Stegostoma tigrinum: one gene and its partner. The protein of the gene in region 2 interacts with the protein of the main gene of each other region in a biochemical or structural test. Links are inferred from orthologs where the notes say so. Each region holds a gene or a part of one and is shown on either strand. Other genes may lie near its edges.

Evidence for each region.
Region 1: the proteins of pparg (region 2) and hdac3 form a complex in vitro, tested with the Homo sapiens proteins (3 studies listed by BioGRID, with this or other methods). The link is inferred for Stegostoma tigrinum from reciprocal best matches to the Homo sapiens genes PPARG and HDAC3.

What each region holds. Positions count from the first base shown.
Region 1 is NC_081366.1:12,269,019-12,272,767, reverse strand, and holds the start of hdac3 (histone deacetylase 3), read left to right. Parts: upstream 1-819; 5' UTR 820-870; coding exon 871-925; intron 926-3,749. UniProt on the Homo sapiens protein: Histone deacetylase that catalyzes the deacetylation of lysine residues on the N-terminal part of the core histones (H2A, H2B, H3 and H4), and some other non-histone substrates.
Region 2 is NC_081364.1:24,842,500-24,846,248, reverse strand, and holds the start of pparg (peroxisome proliferator-activated receptor gamma), read right to left. Parts: upstream 2,223-3,749; 5' UTR 2,015-2,222; exon of another isoform or gene 1,932-2,014; intron 1,811-1,931; exon of another isoform or gene 1,702-1,810; intron 1-1,701. UniProt on the Homo sapiens protein: Nuclear receptor that binds peroxisome proliferators such as hypolipidemic drugs and fatty acids.

The DNA of each region.
Region 1 (3,749 bases), on a different chromosome or scaffold from region 2:
CCTGCTGAGCTTTTCCAGCAACTTTGTTTTTGTTCCTGATTTAGAGCATCCACTGTTCTTTCGGTTTTATAATATTAAGGAGTTATCTAACTGAAGTCTTTAAGATATTAACAGTTAAAGACAGGGTAGGTAAAGATAAACTATTACTAATGGTTGGGGATTCTAGAACTAGGGGGCACAATCTAAAAAATTAAGACCAGGCCGTTAAGGACAGATATTAGGAATCAGTTCTACACACAAAGAGTGGTAGAGGCTCAGAACTCCATATCACAAATGGCAATGGATACTGGATCAGTTGTTCATTTTAAATCTGATTTGATACATATTTGTTAAGCAAAGATATTAAGGGAAACGGGCAGAAGACAGGTATGTAGAGTTGAGCCATACATCCAGACATTAATGTACTCTGAATGTAACTTTGACCCTAAACTTGGCCTGGGCTCTTCCAGGGAATTCTCATATTGACCTCTAAACTTTGTATTGCCCTTAACCTTTGCATTGCCCTTTTATTTGACTCTTAACCTTTGCACTGCCCTTTGCCTTGACCACAACGTTAGCACAATCCCTTGTTCGCCCTGGGACTGAACCCGACCCTAGAACCCTGAGATGCTGCTTGACCTGCTGTGTTCATCCAGCCTCACATTTTATTATCTTGGAATTCTCCAGCATCTGCAGTTCCCAAATTCCTTGAACACTGTCGCCTCCCTGTTGCCATGGGAGACGCGGCGCTGTAACCACGGAAACCGCCCGTCAATTCTGACCCCGCCCCCTCGTCGGAGCGAGCGCCGCGCCGGCCTGCGTCAGACGCATGGCGTGGTGACACAGTACGTGCGTGCGCGGGTGGCAATCTGGGCGGCTGGCCGGCGCGCCATGTCCCGGAAGGTCTCTTACTTTTATGACCCAGATGTGGGCAACTTCCATTACGGTCAGTGAGGGGGTAACTTTGGGACACAGGGTGGAGAGTGGGAATGGGGTTCGGGTACAGAGAACTAGGGAGCGGGTGAAGCAAGAGGGGCCATATGTAGGGACTGGGGGAGGGGGCGTGTGGGGACTGGGGGGGGAGGGGGCGTGTGGGGACTGGGGGGGGGAGGGGGCGAGAGGGGACTGGGGGGGGGAGGGGGCGTGTGGGGACTGGGGGGGGGAGGGGGCGTGTGGGGACTGGGGGGGGGAGGGGGCGAGACGGGAGGGGGCGTGTGGGGACTGGGGGGGGAGGGGGCGTGTGGGGACTGGGGGGGGAGAGGGGGCGTGTGGGGACTGGGGGGGGGAGGGGGCGTGTGGGGACTGGGGGGGGGAGGGGGCGTGTGGGGACTGGGGGGGGAGGGGGCGAGACGGGAGGGGGCGTGTGGGGACTGGGGGGGGTGGGGGCGTGTGGGGACTGGGGGGGGTGGGGGCGTGTGGGGACTGGGGGGGGAGGGGGCGGGGGGGTGGGGGCGTGTGGGGACTGGGGGGGGAGGGGGCGAGACGGGAGGGGGCGTGTGGGGACTGGGGGGGGAGGGGGCGTGTGGGGACTCGGGGGGGAGGGGGCGAGACGGGAGGGGGCGTGTGGGGACTGGGGGGGAGGGGGCGTGTGGGGACTGGGGGGGGAGGGGGCGAGACGGGAGGGGGCGTGTGGGGACTGGGGGGGGGTGGGGGCGTGTGGGGACTGGGGGGGGTGGGGGCGTGTGGGGACTGGGGGGGGAGGGGGCGAGACGGGAGGGGGCGTGTGGGGACTGGGGGGGGAGGGGGCGAGACGGGAGGGGGCGTGTGGGGACTGGGGGGGGTGCGGGCGTGTGGGGACTGGGGGGGTGGGGGCGTGTGGGGACTGGGGGGGGAGGGGGCGAGACGGGTGGGGGCGTGTGGGGACTGGGGGGGGGAGGGGGCGTGTGGGGACTGGGGGGGGGAGGGGGCGTGTGGGGACTGGGGGGGGAGGGGGCGTGTGGGGACTGGGGGGGGAGGGGGCGAGACGGGAGGGAGCGGGTGGGGACTGGGGGAGACGGGAGGGTGCGTGTGGGGACTGGGGGGGGGAGGGGGCGAGACGGAAGGCAGCGAGATAGGAGGGGGCGCGTGGGGACCTGGGGGGAGGGGGCGAGACGGGAGGGGCGCGTGGGGACCCTGGGGGGAGGGGGCGAGACGGGAGGGGCGCGTGGGGACCCGGGGGGAGGGGGCGTGACGGGAGGCGGCACGTGGGGACCCGGGGGGAGACGGGAGGGGGCGTGAGGGGTGAAATGGGCAGGGGCGCACATTGGGACAGGGGCGTAAGGGGTGAAAGGAGACGGGGGTGTGAGGGGTGGAACGAGAGTGGGAGCACGTAGGGACGGTGGGGTGAGGGGTGGAACGAGAGAGTGGGAGCACGAAGGGACGGTGGGGTGAGGGGTGGAACGAGAGAGTGGGAGCACGTAGGGACGGTGGGGTGAGGGGTGGAACGAGAGTGGGAGCACGTAGGGACGGTGGGGTGAGGGGTGGAACGAGAGAGTGGGAGCACGAAGGGACGGTGGGGTGAGGGTTGAACGAGAGAGTGGGAGCACGTAGGGACGGTGGGGTGAGGGGTGGAACGAGAGTGGGAGCACGTAGGGACGGTGGGGTGAGGGGTGGAACGAGAGTGGGAGCACGTAGGGACGGTGGGGTGAGGGGTGGAACGAGAGAGTGGGAGCACGTAGGGACGGTGGGGGGGGTGAGGGGTGGAACGAGAGAGTGGGAGCACGTAGGGACGGTGGGTTGAGGGGTGGAACGAGAGAGTGGGAGCACGTAGGGACGGTGGGGTGAGGGGTGGAACGAGAGAGTGGGAGCACGTAGGGACGGTGGGGTGAGGGGTGGAACGAGAGAGTGGGAGCACGTAGGGACGGTGGGGTGAGGGGTGGAACGAGAGAGTGGGAGCACGAAGGGACGGTGGGGTGAGGGGTGGAACGAGAGAGTGGGAGCACGTAGGGACGGTGGGGTGAGGGGTGGAACGAGAGAGTGGGAGCACGTAGGGACGGTGGGGTGAGGGTTGGAACGAGAGAGTGGGAGCACGTAGGGACGGTGGGGTGAGGGGTGGAACGAGAGAGTGGGAGCACGTAGGGACGGTGGGGTGAGGGGTGGAACGAGAGAGTGGGAGCACGTAGGGACGGTGGGGTGAGGGGTGGAACGAGAGAGTGGGAGCACGTAGGGACGGTGGAGGAGGATGAATCAAGACGGACATACAGACTGGGGGAGGGGACACATTGGGCTATCAAAAGGGAGACCAAGGGGGTTTATAGAGACTCTCTCCATGGGAGAAAATGAATGGTGAATTGAAACATACCGAAATGTATTATGATAACTGAGGTGATTCAGTGAACTGAGCTATGTGGAGAGGTGGTTACTGAGTGGATCAGTGGCTGGAAGGTGCCAATGGGGTTACGAGCAGTTAGTTATAGAGAAAGGGGAACATATCGAGACATGGGGAACATTGACACATTTATAAGTGGCCATTCTTCGATACAATGTTGGAGATATATGACTTAGTGGTTATTAAGTGTACAAGTGCTGCACTGAGACAGGAGAAATGACATGAGGGTTACCCAAACGTGATGGTGCCAGTAATTCAGGGATGTGGATTTATGAACCAGAGGGAAGATCTCAAATCCCTACCTCAGCAGCTTAGAATTTTAATTAATTTATTTAACACTTCATGTCAGTAATAGTGATTAGAAATTGCTGGAAAGGTGTGAATGTATTAGGTTCAGGATCTCCTTTAGAGAAGAAGGTCTGCCATCCTTGCCTGTACCATGGTATATGTAACTTCAGTGTAG
Region 2 (3,749 bases):
TGTCATGTTTGTCCAGCCTGTTCTCTGCAAAGGTTATACTAGCTTGGATTTTACAAATTAGTTTCACTGAGTTAATATGAAAAAAACAAATGAAAACATATCTTTTGAATTTAAAAATTGTACAAAGCATCCCAACCTCCTCAATATTCAGCCTGATGCTTCAGGTCTATGATCCTTCGGTATAAAATGTACAATGTACATGTAGGTTGATTAATAATTTGAATATAATTTCTCCGATAAACTGAAAAAGTGTAATTAGTCAAATAGTCGGGGCCTGCCCACAAATCCATGTGAAATGGAGCTTCAAGAGAGCTGAGGACACCATATGTAACTTGCTTTGCCTGCAACAAATGAAGAAAATATAGTAGTAACACAGTAAATATGAAAAATGTCTTTATTTTTCAAGTCGTCAACACGTTACCATGGCCTGACCTTGTGCAGTAAAAATAATTGAAAAGCATTGGAAGGTAGCTCTGGAAAAGTCAGTAATTTGTAATCTGCTTAGCATGCAGTCTTCTGCTACATTGTCAATGCAGTTAAGCATATTTTCCAGATTTTGTGCTGCAGCGTGGAATCCTGGAAGACCTCGGTGGCCTTTATGGCTTCAGCTGTGGAAATGGGTGGCCACTCACCAGATTCTTCAGGGCCACCAGGATGATAACCTTCCTTTTCTTACGTTGATACATTTCGTCCATTTTCCTGATCCTTGCTTCAGAAACGCTGGCGATCATTCGCGTACCTCCGAGTGTGTGTAGTGTCGTTATGTTTGCAAAATAGTATGGCTTCTTGGACATTACAATCAGAGTCAGCTTTTCAATGCCATCCTGCAACAGCAGGTTCTTTGCTTTACTTTCTGTCATTAAATATTTCATCTTTAAGCAGTAAACAGCAATCTAGCAAAAGATAGTAAATCAGTTCCTTTTCATTGATATTAAAAATGTTCCTTGGTGTATATTCATTTCGGATGTGGGTGAGACCATTTTGGAGCTAATATTACAAGTTTGCTATGATTTTGGCTCTAGCATGTCCTGACACCAGTCTGATTGATTTGAACAGTTACACAATAACGTGTGTATACGTTCTGCTAATCCAGAGTTATCAGTCCAGAACTTAGGTTCATCACAGGCATCCTTCTATTAGATTTCCTGTTCTGCCCACAGAATGGCGGATAACCTGATTCAGAGTTTCAAATTATCTGAATTTGACCCGTCATGATTTCATTGTATTTTAATGTAATTAAATTTATTTCAAAATGCTTAAACATACGTGGCTAAATACTTCAAGGTTTTTTATGAATGTTAACGTCAATAATGTTTCACAAAGCAGTTTAAATTCTTATCGCGAAAAATGCTTAGACCATTGATTAATGCTTTTTACTTGCGCAACATCGTTGTATTCTTCAATGGAGATTTTTGAACAATAGACAAAAGTAGCCAAACATAACATAAACCTAGATAATTTAATTCCCCATCTATGATTAGCATCTGCAAAAGATGAAGTATCAGCGACAGTAACTCCGATAAAGCGACATACCACAGCCACATGACTTAGTGCAACAAACTGGGCACCTCTTCTGAAATATTTATTCAATTTAGCGCTTCTGAAAGGAGTTCACTTAGTTGCTGACAAGAAATAATATAGAGTTGGAGTCATACAAGGTATATATGGTCATCTTTAAAAAAGTGAATGAAACATCCCAACCTGCTCAATAGGACTGTGAAAGTTCTGCAATGTGTTTTCAGGGGTGATGACTTAAGTACAACTGGAGCTGAATTCTTCAGTGCAGAGTACTGTGAGCAAATTGCTCTGTCCAAACTCTTTCCACTCGCTTGGTTACTCGATATTTAAACACCCTCGTACTTGCCCTTCGCTACGTCCCAATGTATTGATTTACAGGCAGTTACATCAGCACTTTTCTAAACGACACTAACCTTGACTCTTCAAAGCATTCAGCACGAATGTCGGTCGCTTCCCCCCGCGGCACTTGCCCGGCAGGAGCAGGCGTCACGTTTACCTGGTTGCTGGAGGTAGATGCAGCTTCTCGCCCCCGATCTTGCCGGGCAGGTTTGCGAGCCGCTCCGCTGTGGTCTCAGGTGCTCGTCGGCAGCGGGTCGCCACTGTCACAGGGTTCGCAGCCACGCGCTCCCCCACTGGCAGCACGGGCGATTGTCACAGCGAGGGGCGGGAAGAGGTGGGCTGGAGCGCGTCACTGCGCGAGAGCGCGCGTGCCCGTCAGCGCGGAGCAGGCGCGCCCCCTGGCCTCCCACGGGATCGAAGCTGACGGCCTGGGACGGTCCGCGCGCCGCCTACCCTCCCCGCTCGGACCGACCTTCCCCGAGTTGCTGGGAGGCTCCGCTTTACTGCGCGCGCACACGCAAGCATAAGCGCGGTGTGGTCCACCCGCAACTTTTATTCTCGGCGGTCACGATCCTTACCACCCTTTATTATTGAAGTTTCCTCAAGCTGAGGGGGAGCTCCCAACTTCCCACGCAAATCGCAACTAGCTTGTGACACGCGAAAGCAAGTCTTTACAGGGTTTTTGTTTGCACTTTTGAACGATAGCTCTGCACTCAGCACTTTTTCCAGTTGTAAAATGGTCAGAATGGTTGAACACTCAAGAAACTTACACGGGACAATCCGCATCTGTTAAAAAAATTGACGACTACTTCTCTGCGTCAGAACATTTGTAGTGCAGGAGGATAAAAAGACTTAGTGGCATCGCAGCCTAAATTGAAGTGTCAAAAGCCTGGAACACACAGTACTGTTCTTTTCTATATAAGTACGGCCTGCGGAGTTTGCCACTGCTCGTACCTCGAAGTCTCTACCATTTCTGCCAATATTTGGCTACACCAACTTGGCGTTTTTGCCAAAGAGACACTTCTTGTATCAGGCAGTTAGCACCCAAAGGGTTAACTGGCATGATGCCAATCAGAATCTGAAGGATGGTAATGGCCTTGAAGTGTGTCTATATCTCAGCTAGAGACTTTGGGTTCCATTCCACCTATCCCAGAGGTGTGTCATAACATGCCTGGACGGATTGATTTAAAATAATTGTATAAGGCTGTTCCTGGGGGGAGTTAACTAGTTCTGCGTTTATTGACAATGTTTTACTAGCAGCAAAATGGACCTACTCTTAAGTTGAACCTGATCGTTCACAAGAGACCATCTTGTATTTCAGATGTGATGTAACTATTTAGTAATATATAACAAATGTATTTACTGTTTCACAAGAATTACTCTTTCTTCTGCTGAAAAGATTGTGTAGGCACCTTCCCCTTCATGAACTCAGAAGCGTGGACTGCTACCACTAAAAAAGGTTAGTGGCAGTGAAGCTACTGAGAGCTTCCCAGCCTGACCATTATAATATGCGTCAATAGTGGTCACCTGAAGATTTAATTTAGCTGCCCATTACAGTATGCTGGCGGCGGTGGACATCACTGTCTCACATAATATGATAGCGGCAGTGAACACAACCTGAAGAAATCTTCAGAACTACAAACACCTCAGCCATCTAAAGAAAGTAAGGAAGGCAATACAGTGTGGAGCTGGAGGAACACAGCGGGTCAGGCAACAGGAAAATCAATGTTTTTCAGGTTACTCCCTTCACCGGGACTGTTGGCACCTCCACATCTTGCTATCTCCGAATAAGAAAGGCAAACTCCTCTCAGGAAACTAAGTCTATTTTTAAATATCAGCAACTCAGAAGTTTCTGTCAGCTTCTGTGAATGGAGTAGCCAATAATTAAATGA